Linked DNA regions of Cricetulus griseus. The protein of the gene in region 2 interacts with the protein of the main gene of each other region in a pairwise test. Links are inferred from orthologs where the notes say so. Each region holds a gene or a part of one and is shown on either strand. Other genes may lie near its edges. The genes, in order: Lemd3 and Smad9.

What was found.
Region 1: the proteins of Smad9 (region 2) and Lemd3 interact in binary tests that used the Homo sapiens proteins (3 or more experiments, as listed by UniProt). The link is inferred for Cricetulus griseus from reciprocal best matches to the Homo sapiens genes SMAD9 and LEMD3.

What each region holds. Positions count from the first base shown.
Region 1 is NW_023276806.1:135,841,051-135,845,637, reverse strand, and holds the start of Lemd3 (inner nuclear membrane protein Man1), read right to left. Parts: upstream 3,061-4,587; 5' UTR 3,022-3,060; coding exon 1,398-3,021; intron 1-1,397.
Region 2 is NW_023276806.1:96,416,759-96,421,039, forward strand, and holds the start of Smad9 (mothers against decapentaplegic homolog 9), read right to left. Parts: upstream 2,917-4,281; 5' UTR 2,721-2,916; intron 1-2,720. UniProt on the Homo sapiens protein: Transcriptional modulator activated by BMP (bone morphogenetic proteins) type 1 receptor kinase. SMAD9 is a receptor-regulated SMAD (R-SMAD).

The DNA.
Region 1 (4,587 bases), about 39 Mb from region 2:
CACTATGTGGCCAGATGGATGACACAAGGTCAGAAAAACAAACATGCAAAAACAGGTACCACTGACAGGTAATGTTATTTAACTTTTAAGTTTGATTTCCAGTTTTTTTTTTTTTTCCCCTCTCAATTATTTAAGACAGGACACAGCACAACACTCTTGCTCCCAGAAAGCCAACTGAAGCAAGGACTGCTCCTGCAAGCCTGTAATTCAACAATATTGTGGTCATTTATGTATTCATTCCTTGGACTTGGTTATACTGAAATCGATGCTCACACTACTTGCTCTGCTAACTGCACCCATCTTAGTATTGTAGCATAAAATATATAGTAAGCCAGCTTTATATATACAAACCATGATATTGCAAATTCATATTAGGAGGAAAACTTCAAGGGAAATGGGAAGAAACATAGCAGTCCATTATACACTAATTTACGTCCAATCCTAATAAACCTCATCCTAGTCAATATTAGCATGGTCTTCTCGATTAGCAAAGGGAAGTTCCAGCCACAGTAACTACAGCAAATCTCTCACCCCATTCAGGTCCTTTCTGCTTCTTGTGATCCCTGCCCAGAATGTCCTGCAGCCGCTCTACAAGACTATTTTGTTTTGTTTTGTTTTGTCCAGCTTTACTTTTAGGTCTACCTTAAACAGTACCCTCTGACCATGCAATCTAAACCAGCCCACACCAGTTACTTTATCCTTATTTCCTCACAGAACACATAGTGGTCATCCTCCTGAATGATTTGATCTATTACTGTTGTGTCTTCATTGCTCAATACTCAGTACTGAGGAAGGCCCTGTTTGAATGAATGAACGAACACACCTGCCTATTTACAGTCATTTACCAAGGATATCTGCCCCCAAGTTCCATGTGCTAAGTTACCACGACTTTCTCCACGGGTGGAAGGGGAGGTGCTCTAGACTGAGAAGTGAATGAAGAGGTGTGTCCTGCTGCCTCCTCAACACCTGTTCTCTTTATAGAAATTAGAGAACTACTTATATTGTGTGTACACTGTCGTCTTCGATCATAACACATTTAAAAAAAGAAAACATGGCATGTGTGGCACTACTTCCAACCTCATCGAGCCGATGACATCTGCAGTTATTTAAAACTAAAAGACATTAGGACACTCAAGGGCCTTTTTACTGGCACAGCATTCCTCTTGGATAAGTTGTTCTGAATTTACCAGCACACCACGCAGAAAAATGTAAAAACCAGCCCTAAGGTATCATTCTGGTAATGGTACGCCGTTCCTTCTCAAAAGACAGCCGATGCATGTATTCTGCGGCACTTTCGCTGTTAAAACAAATAAATTTCTTGCAAGTAATGGTCATCACCAGCAAGCAACGTGTCTGCATCTGATAACCTGGGCCCTCGGAGTTTACTTAATACTTACGGAGTCCTCCATCCTCCGGTACTCCGGTCCCTCTCATCCCTAGGTAAGTCAGTCCCAGTATCAGGAAAAACAGGCAGGCAGCAGTCAGGAGAAACATGGACAAGTAGTGAGCGCTGAAACTCCCCGTGGGGGACACCTCTTCCCGTTTAAACTGCTGGAGGAGTTCCTCTTCAGGCTCGCAGAGCTTCGGTTTGCCATAGGCATTTTTCAGGTAGGTGTGATTGGAGCCAGTATGGTTGGCGTGATTGATCCTGAGTGATGGAGGGGCAGGGGAGGCGGCGGCCGCGCCGGGAGGGAGGCTGTTGGAGTAGACACCGGGGGGATCCACACCGAAGGCCCCCCCGCCTATGTGATTATTGGTTTTGAGAAGGGAACCTGTGGGCGACTCCAAGCTTGAGTCCACGTCAGGGACCGGCGGGGCCAGGAGCGGGGCCAGCTTCTTGGCGCCAGCACGGTATCGAGGAACCGGGCTGGAGTCCACTGGCTCGCACCCTCCTCCCGGCTCGGCCGCCGCCTCCTCGAGGGTTCGGCTCCAGTCTAGACTCCCGGCAGCCGCCGCCCTGTCATTCATCGTCAGTCCTCCCCCTCCCTGAACCGAAGTCTCCAGCCGGCCGCCGCCAGATTTAGCAGTCAGCGCCGAGAAGGGCTTACTGTGGTGGCTCCGTCTGGGCCGATGCCGGGCAAGCGAGGAGTCGTCCTTGGATACCTGTCTGCCGGAGGCCACGTCGTCGTCGTCGTCCTCCTCCTCCTCCTCCGAGTCCGAGTAGTGCTCCCGACAGCTGTACGGGAGGAGCCTGCTGCCGTTCACCGCTCGGCTCGCCCACAGCGGCTCCTCGGCCTCGGGGTCCCTCTCGTCGCCGTCCGCTACCTCCTCGTCCCCGTCCTCGGCGGCTCCGTCGCTGCCCGGCGGCGCCAGCGCCGGCGGCGGCGGCTGCGCTTCCAATGCCCCCGGCCGCCGCGCTGCCCACCACGAGTGGGGCTTCCTGCGCTCGCCCGAGTGGCCGCTGTTAGTCACCTCGGCGGCGGCCAGGGGCGCCGGCGGCGCTTTGAGCCCGCGGTACTGGAGCGCAGCCCGGTCCCTCCGCGCGCCGCCGCCGCCGCTGCCGCCGCCGCCGCCGGCCTGCTCCCGGGGGCTGGCCTCCACGTCCGACTCGTCGGAGCTGAAGCCCAGCAGTACTTTGCTGCCCGCCGAGGGGACGCTCGCCGCGCCCCCGGATCCTCCCAGGGGGCTCTCGGGAACCGAGGCCGCCAGGCGGCCCAGGCCCGCGGGGGTCCGTAAGTACGGGAGGTCACCCGAGCCGGGCCGGACCGCCATCGCCATCCCCGAGGCCGCCGCCGACCCCGCCGCCGCGACTGTGGCGGCCGTCGCCGCCGTGTTATTGTTATTACTGTTCCGCGTCTTGCTGCCGCGGCCCCCCGCCCGGTGCGGCTGCGGCGGCGGCTGCGGCGTCTGCGGTTGCTGCTGCTCCTCCTCGCGAAGCTTCTTCAGCTTCTTGAGGTACACCGGCCGCGTGCTCTCCGTCACCGGACCCGGGGATAAGCCGTAACGGCGGAGCTGACTGAAAAGCTCCTCGTCCGAAAGCTGCTGGGGCGCCGAGGCCGCCGCCGCCGCCGCCGCCGCCATTTTCTCTCCAGGGTGTTTTACAAGCTCCGCGCTACCGGAAGTGACGCGCCGCCCTAGACCCTGAACTAGACCGGGCTGCCTGCGTCGCCCTCCCAGCGCCACGGGCGTCTGGGCCAATGGGAAACGCGGGAGGAGCTCACCTGAGCGGGAAAGCGCTACCTGAGCGGCGGGCGGCCGAGCCGGCGGGCGAGTTGCTCGCCCGGAATGGCGTGGATGCTCCCCAACCTGCGGTCCCCGGCGTGTCCCCCGGAAAGCGCCACCTGAGCCGGCGCGGATGCTCCCCAACCAGGTGTCCCCCGGTGGCTGCGGCTGTCCCTGTCGCCGCTCCGCGCCCCGTGCTGCCACATGCCATCCCACTGGCAGCCAGTGTCGCAACTACACCTTGACCTCTTCCCCGGGGTCCCGCCACCGGGCAGCGGGCGTGGGAAGGACATCCGCCCTGAAGTTCATGGCGACACTTTTCTTGTTCGGATCCCTGCTGCCAAGGACACCGAGAGTCGAGGAGAGGGATCCCGGCTTGGCGGTTTTGCTGTCTGTTCCCTTTTCATTTTGTCTTTTCCGTGCAATTTTTTTTAATGACTTTTTCTCCTCGATGGCTTTTCAGAGACTTCTCTTGAAAGAAATGGAAGAGCTTGTTCTTCACAGTACAGTTTTCAAAAATCATGGCTGCTCTTTCGATGGGGCACGTAATTAACTTTTCTGGTTTTTTTTTTTCTCTTTGTTTTGTTTTTTAGGGTTTGTTTGTTTTCTAAGTATGATGATGACCTTACAAAGTCATGGAGGAATGAAAGAGCCTACCATCTGAATCATTTTGGCAGAAGAAAGACAAGCTGATTCTACTGCTCTCCTGGCTCCTACCCAAACAATAATAAATATTTTTATTTATTTTGAAATATTTATTTGCCCCCTTTGGCTGTAAGCTCCATGTACAGAAGAACTTTGTGTCTATTGTTTTCAACACAGTACACATTTGTTGAGTGAGGTGGTGAGCTGCAAACTGTAATAGAATGAGATTAAAATTTGGAGCATGGGAAAGATATCTGGTAAGGCCGATAAACTTTTCCGCAAAGAAAATAATAGCTGGAAGTTCTACCTTCTTATTCACAAAATGCAAAATGAATCTGAGAGCAGAGAAAGAAATTTGACAATTTTGGCAAAGAAAGCTTCCTCTTTTCTCAAATCCTGTCAGAGCTAATAATTTTTTTTTTTGAGTCCTTAAGTCCTAGAAGCTAGTAGGCAATCCTAGCACTATGTAGGAAACATTACAATAGTTTCTATTTGAGTTGCTTTACCCTATAACATAAAAACATCTACTCGGAATAGGTTAGTTAAAAGCATAGCTGCTAGCTTTTCAATACCCAGTATCCCCAGCAGAAAAGAAAAAAATATATATTAACCTCAATTTTTGATTTCCAGCAAACCTTGTCTTCAAAAGAAAGCTCTCATATGAACAACCACTTCCCTTTTTTCTTTATCACTGAGACTTTAAATGTCACAAATGTCCCTGAATCTATGACTATTAAGCACTTACAAGAGTGTCTGACCCTGTATCCTGATTATGATGAC
Region 2 (4,281 bases):
TAAGGACAGAGGGGAAGGTATCCTGGGCCTGAATTCAAGAAATAGGCATTGAAGAGGAAAGCCTGGGGGTGCATGGAAACCTGTAAGGCACTCTTGTGTCCGCAGTGAGACACATGAGAAAATAAGCCTGGCAGAGGACACCTGAGTGTGCAGACAAGGGTACCTGGGGTTCAACATGCACCGGTGTGCATGAAGATGAGCACACAGTTTTCACAGCCCTGGTGACATCTAATGCTGGCCATTATCTTTAAATGGTTTTAGTTGGCACAGACATAATTTTCAGGAATGTTTGCTTTTAAGGCCTAGTTAATTGCCAGGGGATGTTTGTTTATTTTTGCTATGTTCCTATTCCTACACAAACATTCATCAAGTTAACATAGCACACCACTGCCTACTCACACCATCAAAATTAGGATGTAAGCATCTGCCTCCCTTGATTTAGGACAGCTTGCCAATTCACTAGCAACAGTAATAAAGGGAATAAAAACCCAAAGTCAAGGATTATAACAATTTGAGATTTGTATTTTCAATATACACCCAATTTACTGGATATTCTGCATACACCCCGATTTCTGAATTCCTAAGTGCTCACAAAAATAAACAGGAGTCTCCCCCAAGTTTTGTTCAGATGTTAGGATTTAATGTCAGATGTTACAAAAAAATAAAAACCAAGAACATTCATTGATCAGAACCCTGACCTTCCCACCACTGGAGCATCTCCTGGATATTAAAGCAGACTATGATGAAATTGTTTTCTTGTAGTGGAGAGGGAAGGTCAGATATCATTGGCTGCCTTAATGATGCAGTAACCATCTCTCTTCAACTTGGCAGCAAACATTGCACTCTCATTCATCAGCATTCAATTATTTGTAAAACTGATCTCAAATTGTTTTATTTGTGTGAAAGAACAATTTCTTGTTTTTTTTCTCCTCCAATTTGACCACATGATCAGAAAGAATACACAAATTTACCATCCATTCAGTGCTTCTATGTCTGTGGTGAAGTTTCTTATAAAACGGGGTGGGAATGCTAAGCAATACAGCAGTCTCCTGTATTGCTTAGCATTTTCTTCCTATATCTTAGGTTATCAGAGACGCAGTAGCTGATACTGGTGAATATCTTCTAATTTTCTCATTAACTATGGAATATGTAAAATAAGAGGAAAATATTTGATAAAGAAAACACCAACTGCCTCATGTTTAAGGTGCTTAATTTGCTTAAGACCTTAATTTGTCTTTGCTTTTTAGAAAATACTACTAGTAAGTGAGCTGGCTGCATCCAGACTATGCCAGCATTCTCCTAAGCAGAGTTCCAAACTGGAGGGGCTGGGGGGAGGGCGGGGAGGGAACCCCTGACAAAGCCATCCGCTCAAGCATAAAAGTGGGGGCTGGCAGTATCAGGACAGATCCAGCAAAGGCCAGCTTTCAGGAAGCTGACTTGCCATCAAGAAGCCTTACCACTAGAAGCTATTTTCAGAAATATTGGTCATCTTATCACATTTTAAATGTTCCTTGTTTATAAACCACCACACCGGTTTCTTATCTGTGATGTCCTTGGATTACCAATCATAGACTTGAAAGTGATCCAAAATCGAGTTCCCGCCTTCCTAGGAGCAGAGCTATGAATGCTGGTCATTTGCTGTAGAGTGTGCTTGAGCTGTATTTTCACTTGCCTTTTAAATATAAATGAATAGTTTCTACATGTAAACATCCGAGGGCATTGACAGGCAGGCTAGCACATTTCACAACCACAAATATTCCTGAGGAACTGCCTAGGAAGCGCCATCCTTAAAGGGCCAACGACCTTACCGTTATTCTCTGCTCTCCCTGATAGCTAAATTTTTACAGGAACCTAGCAAGCCGCCGCACGGTCACTGTGAACTGGATCCACTAAAAGTAATTCCTAGTGTTCCATGGCATGCATTCAACCGAATTACATACAATTTGCTTCCAAAACGAGATCCACATCATTTGTAGGTTATTTCTCAAAATTACCAGTTTTAGCCAAGAAATATCCCAGCGGAGGACCTCAAAACTATCATTTTCAATTGCCACGGCCGAGAGAGAGAGGGAGGAGAAGGAGTAAGAAGAGTGTGGCGATTAACCACCCATAAGAAGGCTCCCCACGCTCCTCCTCCCCATCACAAGGCCGGCGTCAGTCAGTCGCCTGCATCTGTCCCCACCTCGCCCCCTCCCGTCTGCGCAGAGCTGGCACCCAATGGTAGGCCCAGGAGAAGACAAACACAACCCAAGCGCTAGCTACAGACACTTAACATTCCTAACTTTTTTTTTTCCTCTCTCACTGTGTGTGCCTCAAAGGTAAGCAGAGAGGAAAAAATTACAGGAGTATGAAATAAAGCTTCATGGCCAAAGGCGCCCTGGAGTTTTAAAATCTCCCCCCAGACTACCTTACACACACTCACACTCGCCCCTCTGCTGTCCCCAACTCCCCAGCAAAGGGCTACTGCCCCAATCAGGGTTTCAGAGCGCCTGCTCCTGGGTGCAGGACAGTGTGCATCCCTCTGCACTTGGTCCACGCGCATCCTGCATCCTTGCCCACACCCCGGGTCACGCGTCCCCGGGATGGGTCCCAGGTGCCAGGCTGCCGCGGAGACCTCGCACATTACACTCGCCACCCAGGCTCCAGGGAGAGCCAAGCCCCATGCCAGAGAACCTCAGAGGCCTCCCAGGTGCCCACGCTCGCGGCGTGGCAGCGCTTACCTGTCCGTGTGGTGCCACGCGTGCCCCGCGCTCTCGGGCTGCGCGGTAGCTGCAGGGCCCGGGCGGGCGGCGGCGGGACCGAGACAGCGGCTCCAGAGGCGTCAGTCAGGCTGGAGCCTCCTCCTCGGCCGCCCGCGTGAGTGCGCCGCACTGGAAGGGCGCCAGGCTGCCGTGCGCGCAGCCCCAGCCAGGAGGGGCCGTGCGCTCTGGCCGAGCCGCGCTCCCCGCCCGCAGAGCTGCGCACCCGCTCGTCCTGCGCATGGCCTCTGCAAATGGCTTTCAGGGCCAGCGGGATCTCCAGGTCATCCCCCGAGGTGTCCTCCCCACCTGGACCTCAGGCAGTGGAGAGAGGGGGCCAGTCCCCCCCACCCACCCACCCAGAGGCAGACAGGACCACCAACCATATGTGGCTCCAGTCCTGGTCCCTTGAGGCCACACTTACTGGCTAGCTTAGCTGTTCCTTATCTCTGTATCCGAGGCATAACTTGCCTGGCACCAGCCCAAGAAAATCTGGCTGAGTGGCAGTGGAGTTTCAAACTAGTGCTGTAATGTTGTGGACTGTGATTTCTTACGCAGTGTATAATACATACTGTCTAATACTCAAGATATACATCATGGGCACAAAGAACCTTCCTGCCCAGCTGCCTGGCTGCCCCCTAGGTCGCCTGCCTTTAAAATGTCACTTGGGAAGTGGCACCTGTGTGTTGAAAGCCTTTGATTCCCCCACCAAACCTTATAGGTTTTCAAAAAGACAGAGGTTTTCAAAATGGCATTGGCCATCTCAGTTAGTTCCACACTGTAAGCATCCCCCAAGAGGCCAAAGCACCTTGGAAATGTAAACAAAAGCCCTTAGGTTGGACTTCTTCCCCTAACCCTAAAACCACCACTTTCTGGAACATGTCACTTTTGCATCATCATCCAAGGGTAGCTGAAGAAGGCTTTGCTTAAAATATATTGCAGAAGTGTAAATGATACTTGAACTTCAAACTGGAAGTATCTCTCTACAGCTGGTCCATATACCCTGCTGCAGGCCAGGTGTTGGGTGTGAGATTGCCCTGGGAGAGAAAAACACCCCAGAAAAAATACTGTCCAGTGTGGGGACCACTGAAAGTCATGGACTGGATGAGAGAATTTCATGTGCACCTAGAGGCAAGTAAACTAATTAGGTTCTCTGAATTGATAACTTGTGCCTCAACACCCACCCACCCCTTCCCCAGAAATGATATTAAAGAACTGATCCAATCAGTTTCCTCCTTCTCTGGGAGCACAAAGCCGTGAGAAACCTTTGATAGGCTGGTTCATGCTTCTGCCACGGAGGCTGTGAATCCACAGAATTCTCTGGAGGGTAGGTGTGGGGCAGGCCTCTAAGTGTGTGTACTCTGCCTTTTCTGGACGTTACTCCCAAAAAGGTTAGGGAGATAAAACAGTAAAACCTGGTGGGGTTCAAGAGAGAGCAAACACCGACCCTGGGGAAGAAAGCTCATGCTGGCTGATTCTTTTAACTGCCCTAGTTATGAGAATTCTGACCCCTCTTCCTCTGTCATTTTTGGAGCATTTAATA